Drosophila melanogaster: one gene and its partner. The gene in region 2 interacts genetically with the main gene of each other region. Each region holds a gene or a part of one and is shown on either strand. Other genes may lie near its edges. The genes, in order: morgue and rst.

Evidence for each region.
Region 1: of rst (region 2) and morgue, changing one enhances a phenotype caused by changing the other (phenotypic enhancement), as found in Drosophila melanogaster (one study listed by BioGRID).

The regions. Positions count from the first base shown.
Region 1 is NT_033779.5:4,442,056-4,446,257, forward strand, and holds morgue (modifier of rpr and grim, ubiquitously expressed), read right to left. Parts: upstream 2,626-4,202; 5' UTR 2,553-2,625; coding exon 2,409-2,552; intron 2,347-2,408; coding exon 1,015-2,346; 3' UTR 815-1,014; downstream 1-814. Other genes in the region: CG15432 (uncharacterized protein), read left to right, coding at 443-799; Elp3 (elongator complex protein 3), read left to right, coding at 2,756-2,777, 2,840-3,081, 3,138-4,003, 4,057-4,202.
Region 2 is NC_004354.4:2,970,706-2,975,694, reverse strand, and holds the start of rst (roughest), read left to right. Parts: upstream 1-1,860; 5' UTR 1,861-2,294; intron 2,295-4,989. UniProt on the Drosophila melanogaster protein: Required for correct axonal pathway formation in the optic lobe and for programmed cell death in the developing retina.

The DNA of each region.
Region 1 (4,202 bases), on a different chromosome or scaffold from region 2:
GTAATGATAAAAAATCCGGAGTTAGCCGTCAAGGCTCGCTAATTTCGTTAATTTAAGATTTTATTCGCTTATCATCTCAATTACCATGGGTAATACCGTTTAAGTTTTACATTTTGTATTCTAACAGTTGAATGTATGTAATGTCTTGAACAACTATTTTTAGTCTTACAGGACTGTTTTTATTTATATTAGAGGTTTTTAAGTTATTTCTTGTTAGATTAAGGAAACTTACCACAAAAAACAAACAAAAATAACGTATTTTGTAACATTTCAAATGTATTCGATAAAATGCCATCGATATATTTCTGGTCAGGTAATAACATCGAATATCAGAAATTATGTAAAGATAACAACGTGCAGTTGGTGTAAACAAAAACAAGAAAAACGTAAACAGATCGGATTCATTACCAATCCATTTCCAGATTGAAAACCCATTAAAGACATGTCCGACGAGTACGCCTGCGTGGCCAAGGGCAAGCTTAAACTAAAGAACGATTCGGATCTCAAGAAGAAAAAGAAGAAGCACAAGGGCAAGGACAAGGAGAAGGAGCTGCAGAAGGCGTTCGTGGAGCAGCAAATAGCGGAATCGGGGGCCACATCCTCCTCCGCCACCAGTGGCTACGAGCGGAAGCTCACCAAGGCCGAGCTGGCCAGTAAGAAGCAGCAGGAAAAGATGCGCAACAAGCGAATCATGGACAAGGCACAAACCACCCACAAGGAGCGCGTGGAGAAATTCAACGAGCACCTGGACACGCTCACCGAGCACTTTGACATCCCCAAGGTGTCCTGGACGAAGTGAGGCGACGCCGCTCGTAACTTAAAGCATACATTTATTATAAGGTTAAGTAATTTCGACTACGTTTCAACCTGGAGCGCAGGAAAAGTGAGAGGGGAGGCCAAAATAAACAATCCAGATGGCACAACTAAGCTAAATACACAGGCATATGTAGTTACAACGTAAAGAGGGGTAGTTTCCAACTTTCAGTCCATTGTCCTTGGAGGGCTTTTGATCTTCTAGCGCGGTGCAATTAGCTCGTACATGGCGTACTTCCATGTCCACGCGCGCACCAGTTGCTCGAACCTTTCGCGCTCGTGCTCATAGATGTATCCAAGTTCAGGCTCCATGCAGACTTCGGTATACGGATCGGTCAGCAGGCTCTGCACAGAAAGCAGCACCTTGGCCACGTTCAGCGCCAGAGACCAGTTGTGCTGCTGGAAGATGTCGATGCCCACGTCCCCATGCCGCGAAACATTCGGATGCAGGATTTTGGTGAGGAAACGTACTGTGGGCGGCGTCATCGGATATCGCTCCGGGAAGTATATGAACAGGAAGAACTTGCCGCCTTCGTAGGGACTGCCCGGTGGCCCCAGAATTGTCGCCTGCCAGTAGTTGTTTTGCCGATCCAACGGTATGGCCGATATGCCCTCAGATTCGTAGCTGTTCAGCAGATTGGCTTCACCGCGCAGAAAGTTGTTGCGCATTACATTGCCCGGCTCCCGATCGCCCAGCTGTGGATCTGCCTCCTGTGCATCCTGACCCCGACCGCCCATCTCAATCAGGCAAGTGCGACAGAAGCAGGAAGACATCAGTGCCCCGTACAGCCGATACCAGTTTGGATTGTCTGCCAAACTGTCGAACAGCGGCCAGCGCTGCTTGATATACGCCTTCCACATGCTCTGGGCCGTGTTTTTCCCGACAATGTCGTGCCATTGCTTGCAAACTTCACTAGCCATCCACAGCGACATGTCGTCCAAATAGGCAAATATTTTCAGCATCACCTCGACGGGTATTATGTTGACAATGTTTCTGCTGCTGCCACTTGCTCCGCTTCCGCTGGCGGCGTTGTATTCATGCACTCGCGCCCTTCCATCGGCCAGCTCATGCATGTAATGGGGCAGAGCCAAGGGAGCCGTGGCCCGCGGACGCTTAATGGGCAGCAGGAAGGGATTAATGGCTCTCTCGTGCTCAAAGTCGCGCTCCGGAGACTCGCGTCGTGGTGCCGCAGCCTCCGGCACCGGCTGTGGCAGATCTATAACTGGTTGGGCTGGCTGTTGATCCTGTGGCTCCATTGGTGGCTGCGGATTTGGATGTTGTGGCACGGCTGCCGGTTGGGGGTCCTCCAGATCCTCAAAGCCCATGATGTCTACGTCGTTTTCGGTCTCCTCGTCTTCCTGCTTGTCCTTGAACGGCGGCTCGTCGTTCCCAGAATCCTCGTCATCGGAAAGCTCCGTGAGCAGCTCCTCCGCCCGCTGTGCGTTGTACAGGAAGGCGTGGCAGGCGCCGCACAACGGCTCCCCGAAGTTGGGCCCATAGTAGCCGTTGCACACCCAGCAGGTGTTACTATTCTGCAAATTGGAAAGGCTATTTATTAATCGGCCCGCAAGAAACTAGCCTATTGTATACATACCGAAAAAGAGAAGGTCGGCTCTACCAGCTGGTGGTGTTCCTGGTCCGGATCGTCCGGGTCGTCCATCTCGTCGCCACTGCTGGCCAGTTCCTTTAGCAACTGCTCCTGGTCCTTTTGCTGATGCGCTGGCACGCAGCTAGTCATTTTACAGAACTCCCGAGAAACTGGTGCTAAAACAAATAAATAATCGACAAACGATAGACCATCTAAAAGTGTTACCAAGTGGTGTTAGCTTCAAAACCTGTCAAACAGTGTTGTGGTTATCGGACTATTGGTCGGTCGATAACCGAATCAAAACAAGTGCTGCTAACTTCACACGTGCAGTTTATGTGATATTCATCAGCAAAATGAAGGCAAAAAAGAAGTTGGGTAGGTAACGTCGCTACGAAAGTAATTCTTTAAACGTCCGTTTACCCCGCCAATTATTTCAGGCGTGGGATTGAGCCGCCAGGAACGACAGGTGCTCGTCATCGGGGAGATCATTCAGGAGCTGCTGAAGGCGCACGAAGCCAAAAAGGATGTAAACCTTAATCGGATGAAATCATTGGTGGCCTCCAAATATGGACTGGACAGTTCGCCGCGCCTGGTCGACATAATTGCTGCCGTGCCGCAGGACGCCAAAAAAATTCTGCTTCCAAAGCTGAGGGCAAAGCCCATTCGCACAGCAAGTGGCGTAAGTCGCACTTGCTTACACAAGGCGTACTATTCATTTCAATTATTTCAATCCAGATCGCCGTGGTCGCCGTCATGTGCAAGCCGCATCGTTGTCCGCACATCAATATGACCGGCAATATATGCGTCTATTGTCCCGGCGGACCGGACAGCGACTTTGAGTACTCGACACAGTCGTACACAGGCTACGAGCCGACCTCGATGCGAGCCATCCGGTCGCGGTACGATCCTTTTCTTCAGACCCGACACCGCGTTGAACAGCTGAAGCAGCTGGGACACAGTGTGGACAAGGTGGAGTTCATCGTAATGGGCGGTACGTTCATGTGCCTGCCGGAGGAGTACCGCGACTACTTTATCCGCAACCTACACGACGCCCTCTCCGGCCACAGCAGCGCCAATGTGGCGGAAGCCGTACGCTACTCGGAGAAGTCACGCACAAAGTGCATTGGCATCACCATAGAAACAAGGCCAGATTACTGCCTAAAGCGGCACATATCGGATATGCTTAGCTATGGTTGCACCCGGCTGGAAATCGGTGTGCAATCGGTTTACGAAGACGTGGCCAGGGATACGAACCGCGGACACACGGTGCGAGCGGTGTGCGAGAGCTTCCAGCTGGGCAAGGATGCTGGCTATAAGATCGTGACGCACATGATGCCTGATCTTCCCAATGTTGACTTTGAACGCGACATCGAGCAGTTTATCGAGTACTTTGAGAACCCTGCCTTCCGCTCTGACGGCCTAAAGATCTATCCCACGCTCGTCATTCGCGGCACTGGTCTCTACGAGTTATGGAAAACCGGGCGATATAAGTCATATCCGCCATCCATGCTTGTGGACTTAGTGGCGAAGATTTTGGCCCTTGTACCACCATGGACGCGAGTGTACCGCGTACAGCGCGACATTCCCATGCCGCTTGTTAGGTAACTTGTCCGATATATATATTAAATAAACCTGACATTTTTCTTCATTTTAGTTCCGGCGTGGAACACGGAAATCTCCGTGAACTGGCGCTGGCCCGCATGAAGGATCTTGGAACCACTTGCCGCGATGTTAGAACCCGCGAAGTTGGCATTCAGGAAATCCACAACAAGGTGCGCCCTTACGAAATTGAGCTAATTC
Region 2 (4,989 bases):
AAGTCTTGAATTCAAGAAATACTTTAAAACGTTGTATAGATTCCATGAGTTTATATATTTGAAAAGAAAAAACCACAAATTAGCTATAACAAATTTGTTTGGGGTTAAAAAGGGTGTGCGTGATAGGGGAGCTATCTGAAATATTTAAGGACAAAACTTGTGCATGCATTTCGATTTTATTGGTAATATAGTGTTTCAAAATGCTGCAACAGAAATCCTATCTTGCGAATGGAATTTATGGGATCTGGCTATGAACCTTCTTATCGAGAAAGGCTTTTTGTTATAGTTTGTTGGGGTGTTTATAAACAATTTTGGACTACGCATATGTAGAGGAAATGCCCTGACTATGCAACAACGTTCGCCTTATCTTTCGTCTTTGTGTAAATTTAGAGCGCAATGCATTGATATTCCCATACGGCGGCCATAAATTACATGACAATTACTTGGGGAGCCGAAGAAAATCAGCGGTGCTTGGAAAATCCCCCCTCGAAAAGGCAAGCAATGCGTGGAAAGAGGCGCGAAGAGAGAGCGGAAAATTGGAAGAGAGCCGACACTTCATCACTCGCTCCGAATTTTCCGATTTTCCGGCGGTGCCTCCCTCACACGCGTAGTTTAAATTGCGTTCGCAGCAATCGTGCCATAAATTTCCCTTCCGAAACTTGTTTATTTTGGTCTTGCATGTCTCCAGTGCCGAAATCTTCCCATCCAACAGTCCATCTTCATCGCTGGTAGTATCTTTGTATCTTTTGTATCTCCCTATCTCTCGTGGAGCGCACAGCTTGTGTATCGATTCAATTATGGGAAAACTTAGAATCAACTCATCATGCAGTCGATTGATTAACAAGTCGCACCTAGTAAAATGGCTCCCACAGTGTTTGAGTTTTCAGCTGAGCTTGGCTTTACTACAAGTGTGACATTTGAAATGTTCTTAAGCCAACTAAAATTATGCATGCAGCAAAAAGCGCAGGAATGTTGGCACTTCAAAAAAGGGCTGCTTAATGTAAAAATTAAGCTAATTTAATGATAAATTAATAGCTTCTTTTTGAAAATCATGTTAAACACTTCTCTGTGTGGTTCCCATGGGATTTCCGCCGTTTTGTCAAGCCACAGATTTGGACTTTTTACTCAAATTGCTCTGTAGAGGACCATATGTCGCTCTTCACAGCCCTTCTGGCATTCCACAATCGGAAGAAAGACTGCAGATTTCTACCAAAACGGGAAGAATTGTGGGTGCGAAGAAGGAGGAGAGATTGGTGAACAGCTGCTGTCCCGACAGCATTGACCTCTTGACGGCCAATTCTCCTACTTTATCTCAATCTGCAGTGTTTAAAGGGTTTATACTTTATGTGATCTTTTTTTTTTTGTTTTTTATCTTCTCCGGCAACAGTTGGTGGTCCACACTTTTGGCGGAAGGTGGCGCTGCTAACAGCAAATCAGAGTGCAATTAAGGCCAAAAGACAGATGGCCAAAAATCGTGGCACATCGGCTGGCAATATCCCCAAATTTGCGTGCACAGAAACAAAAAAGATATGTATAGCGAACACTAAATTGATTCGTATAAATAATTTATAATATTTTTTAATATAATTTATACATTGCATCTGAAAACTTATAGTAAATATATGATATGAAAACATATATCCCATATATATGGGAATTTAAAAAAACATTGGCTGCCAAACATAATCCAAATGAATAACAACATAGAACAGAGGTTGCATCGAGCCGCGCTGTTAGCCCTGTTGCATGCTGTTAGAGCCTGAAACACCACTTGCAACATCATCGAACATGTTGCGTCGCTTTGTTTTGTTTGAAGACAAGCCGCGCCGGCCGAAGAAGTCGGATTTTTGGATCGAGTTCGCACTTCGTTCCGTTCGCTCGTACCGTTCGCTTCGTAGCGGCGGAAACTCCGTACTTTCGATAGCTGGTATCTCACAGATACTTTTCGAGACCCCGAAGACGAGAACTCGCATCGCATATTCGCCCGAGAAAACTCTCAGTAAATCTCAGATAATTAAAACGAAATATATAACTAAACGTCAATTTTTTTTTTGGTGCAAACGCAAGCCAAAAAATTTCATTTTGGTGTGGATTACCAGTGGAAAAGTGTGTGCTTAAAATGGAATAAACAAGGCTATCATAAAAACAAAGCCCGAAAAACCAAACAAGCTGAAAATTGTCAACCCAACAATTATGGATTAGTGCCAGTGGCCGGTCAGAGTCAGTTAAAAATATATATGCATATAAGAGGACTAAGGAGCCGAAATTGTTTAAATTGATTACAAACAAACAGTGTGAGTAAAAAAGTTCATCAGTAAAATCTAAAGAAAACTCCTGTGCTTTTGGCTTTTTTCATGCGCCAACTGCAACAGCTGCTCCCTCACTTTGACCTTTTCGTTTGATTTTGTTTATAATATACTGTTACTGGCCAAGTCTCCGCCTCTTTTGGCCCCTCAAAAGTTTCGCTTTTGGCCACTTTGGCATTTGGATTTCGAGTTTGCTTGAGTGTATTTTTTTTTTTTTCGAAGAAAATATATGTGTTTTTAATTGAAAATGGAAGCATGATTTTTGGTTGTAAGTAGACTTTGTTAAAGCAAAATTTATATTTTCCTTTCTGCCTAATGAAATGCCCAATGGCAAGTACTAGTTGCTGAAAATATTAAAATGTAATAAAATATAAAATAAATTAAATTACCATCTTTCGAATAACGTTTAGATCTTATCAATCTGAAAATGAGGTTTATTATACAAAATCTATGTTAAGTTGTATATCACAGATATACTTTCCCCTCTACAATAATAGATCTTCAACTCCAGACCTTGGACACCTAATTAGCTTCTTCTGACCATTCCATCCCTCTGAGCATCTATAGAAAAAAGTGCTCTTCTTAACTGATTCGATCTCTTCTTTCCTTGGTTTTGCATGATTTATGATTTAAAGCAATAACTTTGAAAAACAAAATGTACAAAGCTAGTCAACGATTAGGCATTTCGTAAGCACTTAAGTTGAAAAATTAATATTAAATGTATAGAATGATTTTTTGTTCGTATACAAGTATGTACACAAACAAAAAATCTACTTGAATATATGCTAAACAATGCTAAAATCATTCTGAATAATTTACGGCAAACGATAAACTTTAATGAGTATAACATTCAACTTCAAGTTTTAATCTACATAATAGGCAATGTATATTAAATGTGCGCTTTGGTGTAATTCTTTAATGCGTATATTTATTTATAACATTCGAATGGTATACCTATTTCAATGGTTTATTTCTGACATTTATGGATTAATTCATTTGGTTTTAAGTAAATAAATTTGCAAATACATTTAATTCCTTTTGTCATTGATTAAGTGAAATGCCAGTAATTCGACTCTCTTATTGACACATTCAAAAATCATAAATCAATTATTCCAAATCCAATAGAAATTTATTTATTACTCATAAAATTTTTCTCTGTGTAACTCCCCCCAGCTGTAAGCGAAGAAAATGTTGCTAGCGGCTGTGGTGTTAAAGAACAGAAATGCGAGCTAAAGAAGCTGAAGGCCCAGAAGCTTTACCAATACATCGATACATTGCACACAGATACTCAAACATCTGCAAATGCATATACAAGCGTATCTTCAGACTCACGCACCTGTCCCTTGTCATTAAAAAAGCAAGCAAAGTTTCAATCTTCTTTGGCAAGCTAACCTTTTACTTACTCTGCTCCATCCTCTGGGTTCATATATGTCGCATGATAAACACCGGAAAAATATTGATTGGCTGGGAGATTTGCTAAAGCACGATTAAGAAAACTAGTCTCAAAAAAAGTTAGTCTTTGACCAGAAAAAGTATTTGTTCTTTTTTTTTTTAATTGAAATTAACTTATTTTCATACTTATTTATCTTGATTGAAGCTCCTATAAATTCATTTTGAATAACGTTATTAAGTTTTTTGGTTTGAAAACAAAAAGAAAAAATATTTTTAAAGTGTATTTGGGAACGTGTGTGTAGCTTTTGGATTTTATAATTTGGCCCAATTTGCTGGCATTGCAAATTGCTAAAAACGTCTGAAACAATCGACAGGAGGAAATTGGGGAGTGTGGGAAAAGGATGGCAAAAGAGGCGTTCGGTAGGCGTGGCAGGAAGTGCAACATGCTCATGTCGCAAGTTGTTGCTGCCGCCTGTATTTCTCCTGCACTTTTTGTTGCTGTGTTATCGATTGGCGAGGCCGCATTTGTTGGATCGTTTTGACGCGTCCTCGTCAGCATGTCGAAACTTATTTTTCCTTTTCAATTTCGCCCTGCGATTTTGCATTTTTTTTGTTTTTTTTTTTTCGCCTGCCTGTCGCTTTGTTAGTTCTTTGCATGCCACAAATTATGTTCGTCACCCCCTTTTGCCCCACCGCGCTGGATGGATTACCTTGAGAGCGGAGCTGTCAGGCTTTTTGACAGTTTCTGCCGTATCGGTTCCACCGATTTGACTGCTGCGCTCATCCGTTTTGCCTGTTTTTTTTTTTTGTTTAAGAAAGTGCTTCGTTTAATGAATAATTGGTATTTTATATCATTTAGGTACAATAAGAAAAGACTTATTGCCTGGTATTTGCATCTGCCAGCTAATTTCTCATCTCATCTCTAAAAAGAAATGCAGACGAGGGCATTCGAAAGGCAAGCAATTTATCCCTTGGTTAATTTGGTTAATTGAAGACAATTGAGGGCCGCTTTGCAGTTCATTAAGCCTCATCAGCGTTGAGAAATGGGGCCCAGAATCCAGAAGTCCAGAAGTCCGAATCCCAGATCCAGTTCCATCTATACTTTCCATTTCCAGATCTGTTGTCTTGTCGCCAGACTAATTAAAATATTTGCACTCAAATGCTTAAGCAATAAATATTTGTCAAGCCATCATCATTAGGAGGAGGCTATAAGGGGGGGGGGTTCTGACCTCAAAACATGGCACTCCACTTTCTGGGGTGGGGGCAAAATGGAAATGGAAAATGAAAATCT